Saccharomyces cerevisiae S288C: one gene and its partner. Changing the gene in region 1 together with any one later gene gives a genetic interaction. Each region holds a gene or a part of one and is shown in the gene's direction. Other genes may lie near its edges.

Region 1 (4,265 bases):
ACGTACTCAGCAATGTCCGATGGCCAATATTTCTCTTCGCTATACAAGTGCACTAAGGGACAATGATTGATGACATAAGATGGAATCTCTCCAGGCGTATGCAGACTTCTCTGATCATCTGTCACATCTGTGGAATTTAGTATGGGCGGCAATTGGCCGTCGACTTTGAATCTGTTCCGTTGACCCATGGCCATGTCTCTTTTCATCAAAGGCTCTAACGGATCATAATCTTTCAATGGTGGAAGGACAAGCGCCCGTATGACGCTTAGATCTACTATTAAGAACCATAACAATATTCGCGCTAGTACGCAATGCATTCGCTAACTGAATTGAAGTTTGCTTTACCTATTGAGTACTTTATCAAAGCTGCCTTCTTTGTCATTGACGGTAGCTTCAAAAGAAAAGGAAAGTTCAATTGTTAGTTCTATTATAAAGAAGAGAAATTTCAATTTTACATATTCGGAACTTTCTCTTTTTTCATTCGGCTAGTACAACTACGTAGAGAGTATATCTCGCATCCGTCGTATGAGTAACGAGTTATGCTTTCCTTCAAAAGAAGGGTTCTTCCTTTTTCACTTTTTTCTTCTTCCTATTTACACGTAGGACAGCGAATACGGAGTCATGAAACCTTAATAATGCGCTGTTTTTTATTTTTTCTAAGTTTCAATTTGATTTTGTCGTTTCCGTCATAGCCATATAACTAAATTGAGATATAAACTATTTTTATTTTTCCGAGAACGGCCACTGCTTTGGGGCATGCATTATACGATTTCTCGAGAATCCGGTGAAAGCGTATACCCAAAAGAGCAACATAATTGACTGACCCACAATTTGGTTAGAGACATGCTATGCTGATCCTGCATATCTCAAACAGGCAATATGATAACATACATAAGCAATCTCGGCTACGCGGATTTTGTGTGGGTCTGAAAAAAAAAAAAAAAAAAAAAAAAAATAGCGCGGAGCCGGGTGAGAACGTTGGACGGGTAACATAAAAACAGAGCTCTTTATATAATCAAGCATTCCCTCCATACAAAATGTGTCTGCAGCCACGTGCAAAGTACGGTCGTCGTGTGCTAAAGACCAGTAAGTACAGTCTAGCGGGCCTCTGACTAGCTTCTCTGTGCTTGGCGAGGGGTTTACTGGAGCCCAATCGGACTAGCCGGGCTTCGTCACTGCGGCAATGTCTTCGCCCAACGGATCGGAACAGCTCACTGATTTCACCCAAACGGGAAAAAGGAAAAACAAAAACAAAACAGAACGGCGTAGTTTCCGGCAGCCATGATGATCCCTGATCCATAGAGCCATTTTTTTCATTTATTTCCTAATGCATTTTGTTCATATTCTGGATCTGCGTTAAACGCTGTAAAACTGGCTCGTTTCTTTTATATATCTTGCAATCATTCGCTGCTCAACCATCCTAGTCTCTTTTTACACGTACCCTTTTTCCACTTTTTCTTTTAGTTTATATATTCTTTTCGCCTAAGAACATTTGTCTTTGTAATCTACTTAACTTAGCAATTGTCAGCTGTCCTGTTACAACCTGTTCTCCAAAGTGAATACAATAAGCAGTATTTGCTCTTTTTCGTCTAGGTGCGTTGATCTAATCTTCTTTTTATTTTTCTTCTTCGTTCAGCCTTTTTTGTCCTCACCGGTAGCGTTCACCCTAATTCTTTAATTGTCATACCCATAATTATACTACAAATTTCGTGGTCTAGTTTTCTAATATAACTAATTACTTTCTCCCTTCTTACTTCATTATTTTAATTTTGCATTAGTACTCCTCTAGCCAAAGATAAACAGAAATGAACAGACAGGAATCCATAAATTCGTTTAATTCAGACGAAACATCTTCGTTGTCTGATGTAGAAAGTCAGCAGCCGCAACAATATATCCCTTCAGAGAGTGGATCTAAATCCAACATGGCTCCTAATCAACTGAAGTTGACCCGGACGGAAACCGTGAAGTCATTGCAGGACATGGGTGTGAGCTCCAAAGCCCCCGTTCCTGATGTTAATGCTCCTCAATCTAGCAAGAATAAGATTTTTCCTGAAGAATATACTTTAGAAACCCCTACAGGTTTAGTTCCTGTCGCCACTCTACATTCCATAGGTAGAACTTCTACTGCGATTTCCCGTACGAGAACTAGACAGATCGATGGCGCTTCTTCGCCTTCTTCTAATGAAGATGCTTTAGAAAGTGATAATAACGAAAAGGGTAAAGAAGGCGACTCTAGTGGTGCGAATGACGAAGCTCCAGATCTAGATCCGGAAATTGAATTCGTTACCTTTGTGACTGGCGATCCAGAAAACCCCCATAACTGGCCTGCATGGATCCGTTGGAGTTACACTGTCCTACTGTCAATCTTAGTTATTTGTGTCGCCTACGGGTCTGCTTGTATCAGTGGTGGGTTGGGAACCGTTGAAAAGAAATACCATGTAGGTATGGAAGCCGCTATTTTATCGGTTTCTTTAATGGTTATTGGGTTCTCGCTGGGTCCTTTGATTTGGTCTCCTGTTAGTGATCTTTACGGTAGAAGAGTTGCTTACTTTGTTTCTATGGGTCTTTATGTCATCTTCAATATCCCTTGCGCCTTAGCTCCAAATCTAGGTAGTCTTTTAGCTTGTAGATTTTTATGTGGTGTTTGGTCATCATCTGGTTTGTGTTTAGTTGGTGGGTCTATTGCCGATATGTTCCCAAGTGAAACAAGAGGTAAGGCTATTGCTTTCTTCGCTTTTGCTCCTTACGTTGGTCCCGTTGTTGGTCCACTAGTTAACGGTTTTATTTCCGTTTCTACCGGACGTATGGACCTGATTTTCTGGGTCAATATGGCCTTTGCAGGTGTTATGTGGATCATATCTTCTGCCATCCCAGAAACGTACGCTCCAGTTATCTTGAAGAGAAAGGCTGCTAGATTAAGAAAGGAAACTGGTAATCCCAAGATTATGACTGAGCAGGAAGCGCAAGGTGTCAGTATGGGTGAAATGATGAGGGCTTGTCTGTTGAGACCTTTGTACTTCTCTGTCACTGAACCTGTTCTAGTTGCTACTTGTTTCTACGTGTGTTTGATTTACTCTCTACTATATGCGTTCTTCTTTGCCTTCCCTGTCATTTTCGGTGAACTATATGGCTACAAAGACAACCTTGTGGGTTTGATGTTTATTCCTATTGTTATCGGTGCTCTTTGGGCGTTAGCCACAACTTTCTACTGTGAAAACAAGTATTTACAAATTGTCAAACAGCGTAAACCTACTCCTGAAGATCGTTTGCTAGGTGCTAAGATCGGTGCTCCATTTGCTGCAATTGCTTTATGGATCCTGGGTGCTACCGCTTATAAACATATTATTTGGGTTGGTCCAGCTTCAGCTGGTTTAGCTTTTGGTTTCGGTATGGTGTTGATTTATTATTCATTGAATAATTACATTATTGATTGCTACGTCCAATACGCATCCAGTGCTCTGGCTACAAAGGTTTTCTTAAGATCCGCCGGTGGTGCTGCCTTCCCCTTGTTTACCATTCAAATGTACCACAAATTGAATCTGCACTGGGGTTCTTGGTTGTTGGCTTTCATCTCCACTGCTATGATTGCTTTACCTTTTGCATTTTCTTACTGGGGCAAAGGTTTGAGACATAAGTTATCCAAGAAGGATTATTCCATAGATAGTATTGAATAAGAGTAACGATTTTACGAATCGAGCATAATAATGAAAAATTATAGTAGTAGTAATGATAAAAACATAAGCAAACATAAGCAAACATAAGCAAACATATCAAACATGCATTCAAACCATTATCCGACAGTAATGTACATATATTTTTACGTATTTTACATTCTTTCTCTATTGTTCTTTTATCTATTGCTATCCTAAACAAATATATTGATTGACCTTCAAACCGTGAGTAACTTTATTAATTTATATGTATAGAAAAAAAAAAAAATTGAATTAGAAATTTGAACTTCTCAAGTTCATTCTTCTTGTACCTATGCGATGACTTTATTTTCGGTTTTTACATTCCTCCTCATTTGACCGAGGAATACGAATTTGATTGACCCCCACTCACTAAACAAAGGGTCGGAATTCTTTTCCACTTTAAAACTTAGTAATAACAACAAAGTCAACAAAATAGTCCTATTGCAAAATTGCAGGTTCCTTAATTAATATTCTTAAATGATCATCAATAGGCGTATTTTGAAATCTTTTGAAGAGATAAGTCATTCATTAGAGGAATCACTACGAGAGGTTGCATTTGATTCACAGCAACAA
Region 2 (4,475 bases), on another chromosome or scaffold:
GATAAAAATGGTCAGACCGTCACTCCAACCTCAACTGAAGCCTCTTCTACAGTTGCTTCCACTACTACTCTGATTTCCGAATCTTCGGTCACCAAGTCTTCTTCCAAAGTTGCTTCTTCTTCTGAGAGTACTGAACAAATCGCTACCACCTCGTCTTCGGCTCAAACAACTCTGACATCTTCAGAAACTTCTACTAGCGAATCCTCTGTGCCTATTTCCACATCTGGGTCAGCTTCCACATCTTCAGCAGCTTCCAGTGCAACTGGAAGTATCTACGGTGATTTGGCTGACTTTTCAGGTCCATATGAAAAATTTGAAGACGGTACCATTCCTTGCGGCCAATTTCCATCTGGTCAAGGTGTTATCCCCATCAGCTGGTTAGATGAAGGTGGCTGGTCTGGTGTTGAAAATACTGACACTTCTACGGGTGGCTCTTGTAAAGAAGGGTCTTACTGCTCATACGCTTGCCAACCAGGTATGTCCAAGACACAATGGCCTTCTGACCAACCATCTGACGGCAGATCCATTGGTGGTTTGCTATGTAAGGACGGCTACCTGTACCGTTCAAATACAGATACTGACTATTTATGCGAATGGGGCGTTGATGCCGCTTACGTCGTCTCTGAATTGAGCAACGATGTTGCTATCTGCAGGACCGATTACCCGGGTACCGAAAACATGGTGATTCCTACATATGTGCAAGCAGGTGACTCTTTACCCTTGACTGTCGTTGATCAGGACACCTACTACACTTGGCAAGGATTGAAGACATCCGCGCAATACTACGTTAACAATGCCGGTATTTCTGTCGAAGATGCTTGTGTTTGGGGTTCTTCAAGTTCAGGCGTCGGTAATTGGGCTCCATTGAACTTTGGCGCTGGTTCTTCTGATGGTGTCGCCTACCTTTCTTTGATTCCCAACCCAAACAACGGTAACGCATTGAATTTCAATGTCAAAATTGTCGCCGCTGATGACTCTTCTACAGTCAACGGTGAATGTATCTATGAAAACGGTAGCTTCAGCGGTGGCTCTGACGGTTGTACCGTTTCCGTTACTGCTGGCAAAGCTAAGTTTGTTCTATACAACTAAACTTAGGCGCATCAACAGTTGAGTAAGTTGATTGTATTATTACCCCATTCTTTTCTGCCCGTCCATTTTATTGTCTGTTTAACATACACTAAAACCCACGCCGGATTAATATCAATTTTTTTTTACTTTGTTTCTATTTATCATTCTTCCAGACATAAATTATTTTGTAATATTAAAGACATTTGAAAACCTACATACATCGCACACCTCTTCTTTCATTGTCCTAAAAACCACCCAAAAAAAAAAAAAAGACATCAAATCTCTTTTTTTTTTTTTTGTAGTTCTGTTGCCGTATGCTATCTACTCCTAAGGCTTTTTTCTACTACGGCAATCTATTCACAATGTGCAATTAGGCTAAATGCTAAAAAAAGAAAAAAAAATCCGGAGCCCCTCGATGACTCCTGTTTCCGTTTTATACTGTCCAGCGCAGACCGCACTTCCTACGTATACTTCTTACGGGGAAGGGAGCATACACGAAAACAAAAGGACCCGTAATGACTCGGAAACTCCATAGATCGGTAAATACCGGCTCGTTACCCGTCCTCCATCGGAAAATCTCTCACCGATTTGTTCCGGTATCGGATAATTTATGAATCACCCGGCTTGATGGAACCGTTTTTGTTCCGTGAAATGCCCGGCCTGCATTGTTTTCTTCAGACGAGAAGCCGTTCCAACGTTTCTTTTTCTCGTCACCGGGAAGTTGCGGGCACCTTAGGGCAAGGAAAAAGAAACTTCTCTGCCCTCATCGAGGATACAGTTGATCATACTCAATATTATATAACGCTTAACACTGTCAAGGTTATACACTTTTTACTAACTTTTTATTGCTAATATTGTCGTTCTATATAAAATTATGGATTTTTCCAGGCTTACAAAGTTAGCATTTATACGGAGATAAATTTATTTTTTTGAGAATCCAAGCTAGATTCAGAAAGTCGAATCAGCAATGTCACGAAGTAACAGTATATACACAGAAGATATTGAGATGTATCCTACTCACAATGAGCAGCATCTGACGAGAGAATACACAAAACCAGATGGTCAAACGAAAAGTGAAAAACTAAATTTCGAAGGCGCTTATATCAACAGTCACGGGACTCTATCCAAGACTACCACAAGGGAAATAGAAGGCGATTTAGACTCTGAGACTTCTTCTCACTCCAGTGATGATAAAGTTGATCCAACCCAACAGATAACTGCAGAGACAAAAGCGCCATATACTTTACTAAGTTACGGTCAGAAGTGGGGAATGGTTGCAATTCTAACAATGTGTGGCTTTTGGTCTTCATTGGGATCACCGATCTATTATCCCGCTTTGAGGCAGTTGGAAAAGCAATTTAATGTGGATGAAAATATGGTTAACGTTACTGTGGTTGTGTATCTGTTGTTTCAAGGTATATCTCCCACAGTTAGCGGTGGTCTGGCGGATTGCTTTGGACGGAGACCTATAATTTTAGCAGGTATGCTGATATACGTTATTGCATCCATCGGGCTAGCATGTGCTCCATCATACGGTGTTATTATCTTCTTGAGGTGTATTCAGAGTATTGGTATTTCCCCCACAATTGCAATCAGTTCTGGTGTTGTCGGGGACTTCACTTTGAAGCATGAAAGAGGTACATTTGTTGGCGCCACCTCAGGGTTTGTTTTACTGGGTCAATGTTTTGGTAGTCTTATTGGTGCCGTCCTGACTGCAAGGTGGGATTGGAGAGCTATCTTTTGGTTTTTGACCATTGGTTGTGGAAGTTGTTTTCTAATTGCCTTTCTTATTTTGCCAGAAACAAAGCGAACCATTGCAGGTAACCTTTCCATTAAGCCTAAAAGATTCATCAACAGAGCGCCGATTTTCCTACTGGGCCCAGTTAGAAGGAGATTCAAGTACGATAATCCTGATTATGAGACATTAGATCCCACCATTCCGAAACTAGATTTGTCATCCGCCGGGAAGATCCTTGTATTGCCAGAAATTATTCTGTCTTTATTTCCATCAGGGCTCTTATTTGCTATGTGGACGTTAATGCTTTCCTCTATTTCATCCGGTTTATCAGTGGCGCCATACAACTATCATTTGGTCATTATTGGTGTGTGTTATCTACCCGGTGGTATTGGCGGTTTAATGGGTTCCTTCTTCACAGGTAGAATTATTGACATGTATTTCAAGAGAAAGATCAAGAAATTCGAGCAAGACAAAGCTAACGGGTTGATTCCACAAGACGCAGAGATTAATATGTTCAAAGTCCGTTTAGTTTGTCTTCTGCCCCAAAATTTCTTGGCCGTCGTAGCCTATCTTTTATTTGGTTGGAGTATAGATAAGGGCTGGAGGATCGAATCTATTTTAATTACTTCATTTGTCTGTTCATACTGTGCTATGAGTACATTATCAACATCAACTACGTTATTGGTCGATTTGTACCCAACGAAATCATCTACAGCAAGTAGTTGTTTCAACTTTGTTAGGTGCAGTTTGAGTACCATCTTCATGGGTTGCTTTGCCAAAATGAAAGCTGCGATGACTGTAGGTGGTACTTTTACATTTTTATGTGCGCTGGTATTTTTCTTCAACTTCTTAATGTTTATTCCGATGAAATATGGTATGAAGTGGAGGGAGGATAGATTATTGAAACAACAAAGACAGTCTTGGTTAAACACCTTGGCAGTCAAAGCCAAAAAGGGAACAAAAAGAGACCAGAACGATAATCATAATTAATTGGCATTCTTCAATTTGATAGACACTTATCCCTGCATATTTTTTTTATAAACAGCTTATAGACTTTCATGTAAATTTTTCCTAATTAATGTATTATTTACTTCGTTAATTTTCCGTTGAATTATTGACATGTTAAAGGTGCACTAAATATACCTAATACAAAAAATGGTTTTCTGTGGCAAATATATACAGTGGAAATTTCAGCATATAATCCCTGCTTTACTCTTTCCTTAAGATTTCGTCATAATTAGAACTTTTTTTGGTAAACTGCATTTTCTACCATTATTACTTTACATATGTATAGCTACAAAACTGTATTTTGAAGTGAAAAGTATGATGAATAAATGAATCGTGAATAAGTTGATCTTTTTTTATCAAGAAAATCATTGAGATGCACATTGAACACCTTCGCCACCTTGTTCTTCTTCATCGGAATCATAGTTTGCACCACCCCTGGAGGCCCGTGTTCTGTTGTATTTGGCTGGGTCAAAGTCTGCGAGTACACATTCGTCCACAGTAGCTTTCTTTGGAATGGCTGGGACAATTCTTGGAGGCAAAATTTCTTCTAACTTCTTCAAGTTTTCTTCTGATGTGAAATGGTTTTCTGGGAACTTGATAGTAAATTTGATGATTAAATTACCATAGCCACCGTATTTTGGAATTGGCATACCTTTACCTT

Evidence for each region.
Region 2: mutations in TPO3 (region 1) and AQR1 impair growth when combined (synthetic growth defect), as found in Saccharomyces cerevisiae (one study listed by BioGRID).

The regions. Positions count from the first base shown.
Region 1 is NC_001148.4:837,318-841,582, reverse strand, and holds TPO3 (spermine transporter), read left to right. Parts: upstream 1-1,805; coding exon 1,806-3,674; downstream 3,675-4,265. Other genes in the region: TDA6 (Tda6p), read right to left, coding at 1-317; NCA2 (Nca2p), read left to right, coding at 4,170-4,265. UniProt on the Saccharomyces cerevisiae protein: Cell membrane polyamine/proton antiporter, involved in the detoxification of excess polyamines in the cytoplasm. Recognizes spermine, but not spermidine.
Region 2 is NC_001146.8:501,689-506,163, forward strand, and holds AQR1 (Aqr1p), read left to right. Parts: upstream 1-2,035; coding exon 2,036-3,796; downstream 3,797-4,475. Other genes in the region: putative glucosidase SUN4, read left to right, coding at 1-1,089; type I HSP40 co-chaperone YDJ1, read right to left, coding at 4,180-4,475. UniProt on the Saccharomyces cerevisiae protein: Probable transporter that confers resistance to short-chain monocarboxylic acids and quinidine.